Linked DNA regions of Zea mays. The protein of the gene in region 1 binds, or shares a complex with, the protein of each later gene. Links are inferred from orthologs where the notes say so. Each region holds a gene or a part of one and is shown on either strand. Other genes may lie near its edges. The genes, in order: 30S ribosomal protein S6, chloroplastic-like; 30S ribosomal protein S31, chloroplastic-like.

What was found.
Region 2: 30S ribosomal protein S6, chloroplastic-like (region 1) and 30S ribosomal protein S31, chloroplastic-like share a complex: the UniProt entries of both Arabidopsis thaliana proteins name them as parts of the 30S ribosomal subunit. The link is inferred for Zea mays from reciprocal best matches to the Arabidopsis thaliana genes AT1G64510 and PSRP4.

What each region holds. Positions count from the first base shown.
Region 1 is NC_050096.1:303,987,683-303,991,360, forward strand, and holds 30S ribosomal protein S6, chloroplastic-like, read left to right. Parts: upstream 1-1,354; 5' UTR 1,355-1,469; coding exon 1,470-1,892; intron 1,893-2,539; coding exon 2,540-2,785; 3' UTR 2,786-2,909; downstream 2,910-3,678. UniProt on the Arabidopsis thaliana protein: Binds together with bS18 to 16S ribosomal RNA.
Region 2 is NC_050098.1:170,389,832-170,393,802, reverse strand, and holds 30S ribosomal protein S31, chloroplastic-like, read left to right. Parts: upstream 1-1,386; 5' UTR 1,387-1,444; coding exon 1,445-1,640; intron 1,641-2,857; coding exon 2,858-2,922; intron 2,923-3,004; coding exon 3,005-3,136; 3' UTR 3,137-3,349; downstream 3,350-3,971. Other genes in the region: putative RING zinc finger domain superfamily protein, read left to right, coding at 1-97.

The DNA.
Region 1 (3,678 bases):
TGTTGTTGGAGCTTCCATTGAGAAGCTTCACCAAGAGAGTGGATCTAGCCTTTAGATCCCCCATTTTGGTAAATATAAATTTAGTGGATCTAGATCGTTTGACAAAGTTTTTCAAAAATTTAAATTATTTTTAGTGAATCTCAAATAAACTCATACTGTTGTTTCATTTGATATGGCTCCTTTTAGAAGGGCTCTAGCTCCTTATTTTATTGTCAGTAGAGTACCTTCTATGAAGCTGAAGTTTTTGTAAGTAAAAAAATGGGCTATTTAAATTTGTACCCTTAGTTTTGCTTCATTCCTTATTTTTAACCTTGGTCGTGTTTTTTCTTAGTTTTGCCCTACTACTCTATAACACTAGAAGGACAAAACTAAGTAAAAAAACACGACTAAGGGTAAAAATGAGAACACCAGCAAAACTTGGAGCAAAAGCTTAAAAAATCCAAAAATAAAAGCCATATTTCAGCATCGTGTCTCTTTTATAAAAAATGACTTTGACTTTTTGAGCTCTACAAGGAGTTGTTTTCGGCTATTGGCCCCTTTAAGAAGTCGTGAGAAAGTAGAGTCGAAGTCCTGTCAAATTGACCTACAATAGAATGTCTTCAGACCTTCACACAAAGTTTTTCGGTGTTCAAATTCACTAGATCTTTTATCTTGGTCCTGTTTGTTTCGGATTCTAGCAGCTTCTGGCCACCAAAAGCTGCTGCGGATTGCCAAACGCTCAGCTTTTCAGCCAGCTTCTATAAAATTCGTTGGGACAAAAACCATCCAAAATCAATATAAACACATAATCGGTTAAGTCGTTGTAATAGTATGAATTCATCACTTTCTAGATCCTGAGTCCTATGAACAACTTTATTTTCCTCCACACGTAATCGTAATGATACTCAGATTCTCCCCACAGCCAGATTCTCCTTACAGCCAGATTTTCAGAAAAGCTGGTCAGAAAAAAACTGAACCAAACAGGCCCCTTATATCTCGTATACAGAGAAGATTAGGTCTACTCTATATTTAGTCAATTCAACTGTTCGAGATTTTTTTAAAAAAATATAGGTCCGCTGTTGATATTGTATTTTAGCTGCCTAAATCTTTGGACAGCAAACTTAGATAATCAATTAGTATAATTAAAAGAATAATTTATACTTTTTCTATGGGTAAATAAAGGAAAACATACATGCTGCGTATATGACAACAAAAGAATCATACACATAAAACATAGAAGAAATGCATAACTACATATAGTTGAAATACACACAAAGTTAACGTTGTAAACAATTTTGGTTTAACTGGCAACCCGGCCGTTTTTCCACCAATATGAAAATCCGTGCAAACTCCAAACAGGGCGTGGCGTCCTATCCTTATCTATCGAGTGGACGCGACGCCAACAGCGTCAGCGCCTCCTCCCGCTCTCCGGCTCCTGTCCTGCTCGCGCTCGTCGCCCCCCTGCCGCTCGGCTCCCCTTGGCCCCTCCAATGCCGCCACCCATGGCACTGCTGCCGCTCTCCTCCGCATCCGCGTCCGCCGCGCTGCCGCCCTTCCGCTCCTGCCCGCCCGCTGCGATGCTGCTTCGCCTCCCCTCCCCCGCCCCCTCCCATTTCGCCCGCCCCCGCGCGGTCTCCACTGGGTACGCGGCGTCCTTCTACGGCGGCTCGGCGATGTCCGCGGCCGGCGGCGCGGACGAGGAGGAGGAGGTCGGCTACGAGTCGGGGTTCGGCCCGGGGCTAGGGCTGGGCGGCGGCGGCCTCGGGATGTCGGCCGCGGAAGCCGCGCTGGCGCTGGAGGAGCGCGAGATGCCGCCCTGCCCACCCGGCCTCCGCCAGTACGAGACCATGGTCGTGCTCCGCCCCGACATGTCCGAGGAGGAGCGCCTCGCCTTCATCCAGCGCTACGAGGAGGTAATTTGCGTTTGCCTCCGCTCCGTTTGGCTGCCACTATAGCTAACTGGATGGATGGAGCAGCGTAACACGGGCACGGCTCGATCGGCTCACCTCTGCCTCTTGCATATCTCGCTACCATTTGCTGTTCCGATGGCAGAGAGAGCAGACAGATGATAATTTCTGGACAGGCTGGTATCATACTTGAGCAATGCGAGACGAATGTTAAAAGGGTTCCGAGTGTTTCGAATTTCATCCAATAAATATTAGGATTTCTAAACGTATAAAAGTGGATCCGCCATAGTTAATTGCCATCCTATCCTGAATTCACCATGTATGTTAGGCACTGTTTCTGTTAGAAACTCACTCTAGTCTAGAGCTAATCAGTTTGTTCACATTGAAGTCAGATGCTGCGGCGGTAATATATAGAGACAAGAAACCGTTTCGGATTAAAGACAGGTGAACAGCTTGAATATATAGCAGTAGAGGTTTGAACACCCCCTACCTAATAACTCAGCTAATTTGTGAGTTAACAATCAGTCCATTAGCTGGTTTAACCTAGCTAACAATTTGTTAGTTCCAAACGGGCCCTTAATCGCTGTTATCAGTCACATGCCATCTGCGTACCATTCCAATCCAGCTCAGCTTGGTGTTTTCCTGTGCTGCAGCTGCTCGTCGCCGGCGGCGCCATGTACGTGGAGGTCTTCAACCGCGGTGTCATCCCGCTGGCATACAGCATCAGGAAGAGGAACAGCCGCACCGGGCTGCCGTCCACCTACTACGACGGCATCTACCTCCTCATCACCTACTTCACCAAGCCGGAGTCCATGGACGCCCTGCAGCTTAAGCTCAACGCCGACGACGACGTCATCCGCTCCACCAGCTTCAAGGTCCGCCAGCGGAAGGCCGTCTAGTTAGACGGGTTGCCTCCTCCGCCTTCAGGCCCTGAACACTGTTTTGTTCACATACCATACTACAAGAAATCTGCTGTACAAGAATCCACCTTTGCCATGATTGTTGAGTTTTTTTTTTTTGAATATGTTTCTTGTCTTGTGGTTCTCGAAAATGGACGTCCGGCCATCGTTCGCCAGAGAAACACCGCGCCTCCTAAAACCATCATGTTTCATCAGGTACCAAAAATAAAGGTCCGTAGCTAGGTAGCGTCGAGCCTGAGCGCGCTCCGGGGATGGAGAACAGTCCAAACCCATCGTAAATCTGCAACAGTACAAGCATATACAGTGCAATTTGTGGAAGAGATTCGTACAAGTACAACTTTCATTTGATTTCAGAGGCGTTTAAATACTCCACACTTCATTCCCATTTAGCGTCAAGTGCGTTGGTGTTTCCAAATATTCATTTGATGAAAGAGATGTTCTCGGCATATAACTAAACAGTACGACACTAGGACATGACATGATGCAGAACGCAGATTGGCTTTCGGATTTCTCGAGCAGGAACAGGAAACTTCGGAAGATAAGACACAAAGCACAACACAAACCAGAACAGACGCCAGCAATCCAAAATCTGTCAGCCATGGAGTAACATTTAGTATCTCTCATGGCGCCTGAAATCATAAACAAATACCTGGGTCAGTCAACGATGTGAGGCACAAGGGTTTCAAATAAAAAAGTGTGCCTATTATTCAGCAATACCTGCTGCGCTCCCTGGAGCGTGAACGCTCTCTTCTCCTTGAGTCATATCCGCGGGAGCGGTCATAATCCCTATCCCGGTCGCGGTCATGGCGACGGTCCCTATCGTGACGCCTATCGCGTTCCCTATCATAATCTCTTCTTCCATCTCGAGACTC
Region 2 (3,971 bases), on another chromosome or scaffold:
GAAGGAGAACGTGAAGCACTTCCTCAGCTTCATCGACAGCCTGCCCCTGATCGTCCCCGACAACATGCTGCTGGTCTACTACGACTACCTAGTCTAGCAAGGCTCCTCCCCCCACCCCCCACTCTGAAGCTCTGGAAGAGGAAGGGGGTCTGGGAAGAAGACGCGGCGTACAAGCGACAAGGGTTACCCGCAGCCGACCATCCTCTGCGGATCGAGTTGGCAAAGCGAAGCCGTTGCCGACCAACAGACGATACTCTCGTGGGCATGCCACGCCGTTGCGCTGGCTTTATTGCATGGTGGCGTTGCTCGCTGTAATGGTTGTAAATAAAGAAGGAAAATGTCTCGGGTTTTATATATAATATACTAGCTTGACATTTCTCGTCTGGCGAATTGCCGGACTGTTCAGAATGAAGAAATCAGGGGGCCTCTACTTCTCTGCTCTATATATATCGTCTTCAATTCTCGTGGCCACCTGCACCATTCATAATCGTGAGCGTTGTTGAGGATTCATCCGTTCCTCTCCTTCTAGAGGTTCCAGAAGAAAGAAGACACATGTGGTCAGGTCATGCCATCGAACCGTCTCCACTCCGTGCAAGGCACTTTGCTTGAGGCGTTCTCCCACCACTACATTTTGGCCATCGGTTTTTTATTCATGATTGGGCACTGAAACTGAAACTCTGCTCGGTTGACATGAACCTGATAGCGACCGTTCAATCTGTGCTGTACAGTAGTGCACAGGTGAGTGCCTGACAGTGACCTTGGCAACTCCTCCATTCGGTATTTCGGTTGCTGAAATGAATTGGAATCGCTCCAGCCACACGCTCCCAAATACTACTAACTCCAGCTCCAGGACCGAAAATTGCCTGCACGGGGGTGGGGGACAGCTCGGGGCCGCTCCTTGACGCTCACCCTACCCTCAGGGTTTGTTGATGCACAAGCCATGAGCTCATCCAGTCCGGAAAGCTGGCACCTTGCACGGGTGGTGCCGTGAGGCCGGCCACCATGGGTTCAAGTGTCTGCCTCCACCAGTCCACCGCCGAAATCGAGATTCGAGAAGGACCAGAACCCTAACTCAGCAGGAGAAGCACGGGCCGGAGAACGACGCTGGAGCATCTAGGGTTTTGTTTTCTGTTAGCATGAATCAAAGCTAAGCTTTGGTCATCTTAATTATATTAATTATCAAAAAAAAGAAAGAGAAAGAAAAGGATCCAAGACCTGACCAGACTCGACGACGGCCTGGCTAGGTGTGTGCACCATACTTTACAGTAATGGCCGATAAGGTTACTTCTGGCCCAGCCCACACCAGCCCTGCAGCCCATCTTAGATGTGCGCTGTGGCTCCAACTGCGAGCCCTTTTATCCCTTATCCAACCTGATCCACCACACCACCATTCCCGAGCACACTAGTCTCTCTTCCCTGCGCTTGCTCGCTCCTTCTTGCCCCCATGGCGCTGCTCGCCGTCCAGGGCATGGCCATGTCCACCGCCGCCGCGGCCCTCCCATCTCACAACCACGGCGCCGTCTCATCCTACGTCTCCACCTCCTCCTACGCGCTCGCAGCCTCCGCCGCCTTCCCCCGCGCCCGGGCTGCGTTCGCCGTCGGCGCCGTCTTGTCGGCCACCGTCACTCCAGTTCTTGACGGTAATTAAACAGCTACCTCCTCACTCCCCTTGTTTTTGTCCGATGTAGGAGTAGTTTCTTTCTAACACATGTCACGAGCAATGGCTACTGTTTTCCACGCAATAAGGGAGAAAAGGCAATGACTACTATTACACTGACACTTGGGAAATTCGTTCCAATTCAATCGGGATTTTTCTTCTTTTTATGAAATAGTCAAGGGATTTATTACTGAAATGTACTCCCCAGAAGAGATGGAGGTTGTGATGCTGTTAGTCGATCTGGGTCAACTAGACTGACCAAGGAAAGCATCCAGTTTTTAACAAACTGGTTCATGAAAATTGTGGTGGTTCCAAATATACTAGCTTTTGTCCCAGTCTATAGAAGTTGGATTCTCAGTTTCTTAAAAACCAAGAAGCTAATCCCATCTAGCTAAAGGCAGTTTATAGAAATTGAGGTGGTTCTAAAAACTATTAACCAGTTTTTTTATAAATCACTTTATAGAAACTGAAGTTAGAAACTAGATTCTTAAAAACTAGGTTGCTTCCAAACATGGCCTAAGGGTCTGTTTGGAAGCACCTAGTTTTTTTTATAGAAATTGACGTGGTTCCAAACTAATTTATAGAAATTGGATTCCTAGTTTCTTAAAAAACCAAGAAGCTAGTCTTCTCTAGCTAAAATCAATTTATAAAAATTAAGGTGATTCTAAACACCATTAACCTTTTTTTTTATAAACTAGTTTCTAGAAACTGGATTCTTAAGAGCTTAAGTTGTTCCACACGAAAAAATTACGGTATCGAGGAGCAGGAGCATATATATGAACTGAAAACTACTACTGTAGTAGATTATTAAACCTTTACCGGTTGACTGATTCACTTCACACGGTGTCAGGAGTGAGTGCCAATCAAGGAAGCTGAATCTCTTGTTTATCACTACCGCCTATAGTTTTGGTCGTCTCTGTTGCCACTGGCCTCAGCTGTTGTAAACACTTGTTTCTGGTTTATTAATACAGAGAGTCAAAGATGGATGCTTCTCATGCGTGTACTTCAAAGAAGTTTTAGTTAATCATAATTTGAAATCAATTTCTGAAATTCTAGTGTCCATAGCCTGCTTCAGGATTTTATTCTCTGATTGTACTACGAACCCAACTGGGGTGCTGTCCCTTTTGGCCTCTGTTTATATCAATACTGATGATCCTGTGGACTGACAGACAGTTTTAAACTTTATCTGGTCTTGCTCAGTCTACTGCGGGAGAGGGGACAAGAAAACGAAAAGGGGCAAAAGGTTCAACCATTCATATGGCAATGTGAGTGCTCCAGCACAATTTACATCGCATTTTTGGTTTTTTCCCCCTGTTCTGTTTTATTTAGCTGTCTGATCATGTCTAGGCGAGGCCGCGCAACAAGAAGAAGGGAACTGGGCCTGCGCGGCTCTTTGCCCCTCCTGCTCCTCCAAGGAAGGATCAGTTCGATGATGGGGAGATCATTTCAATCGAGATTGACGAGGACATCCTGGAATAGGTTGTCCGAGTTCTGCCTTGCTTTATATTTGCCCTGAGCTTAATTGGCCTAGTTTGTACCAAATCAAATACTACATATTTTAAGTAATTATTTCCTCGCCTATAATTATCGATGGGTAGGCTGCCACACTTTCATTTGGCTAGTAATGTTCCTACTACTGACTGGGTTCTTTATTTTCCTTTCCAGCTGCTGAGTTCTTTACTCTCTTCAAAATGAAACTGTGTCGAAATAAGTTTTTTTTAGAAGATATTAAATGATTCATCTAGTGGTAACGGAGAGATTACACGTTTCATTTGTAAGGGGATTAATAAGATTTAATCTCTTTCAATCCTCTTCTAACCGAACAATCCAGCCCTAACAGGTAAAACAAAATCCAACTAGCGATTTATTCATACGTCAGCAATGTGCAAAGATCTTGCGTGCTGAACTAATGATCGTGTTGTGTTATTAATATGTGTTGCAATGATGTAAGTTTTGTTTCAAACTTCAGCTAACACTTTCAGGTCTCTTGCTATGCCAATCTCTCACGAGTGTCTCAGCAAAATATGATCCAAACAAGTTGCTGTCTCCAACTCAGCATATATGAATTTTTGCCGACTCCAACTCAGCATATAGAATTGTTTTTGCCGATACATAGCCAGAATTACAGCATAGTTGATAGAACAAAAAAAGGGAGCTGCTCGATTCTCCATCGGCAGGACCAACTTACACGAAATTTAACAGCAAAGAGACTAATTAACATACAAATATAAAGATAACCATCATCCCACATAGGAAGCATGTTTTTTGGATGTCCGAAAATAAGCTCTAACGAGCAAACCACACTCCGCAACCT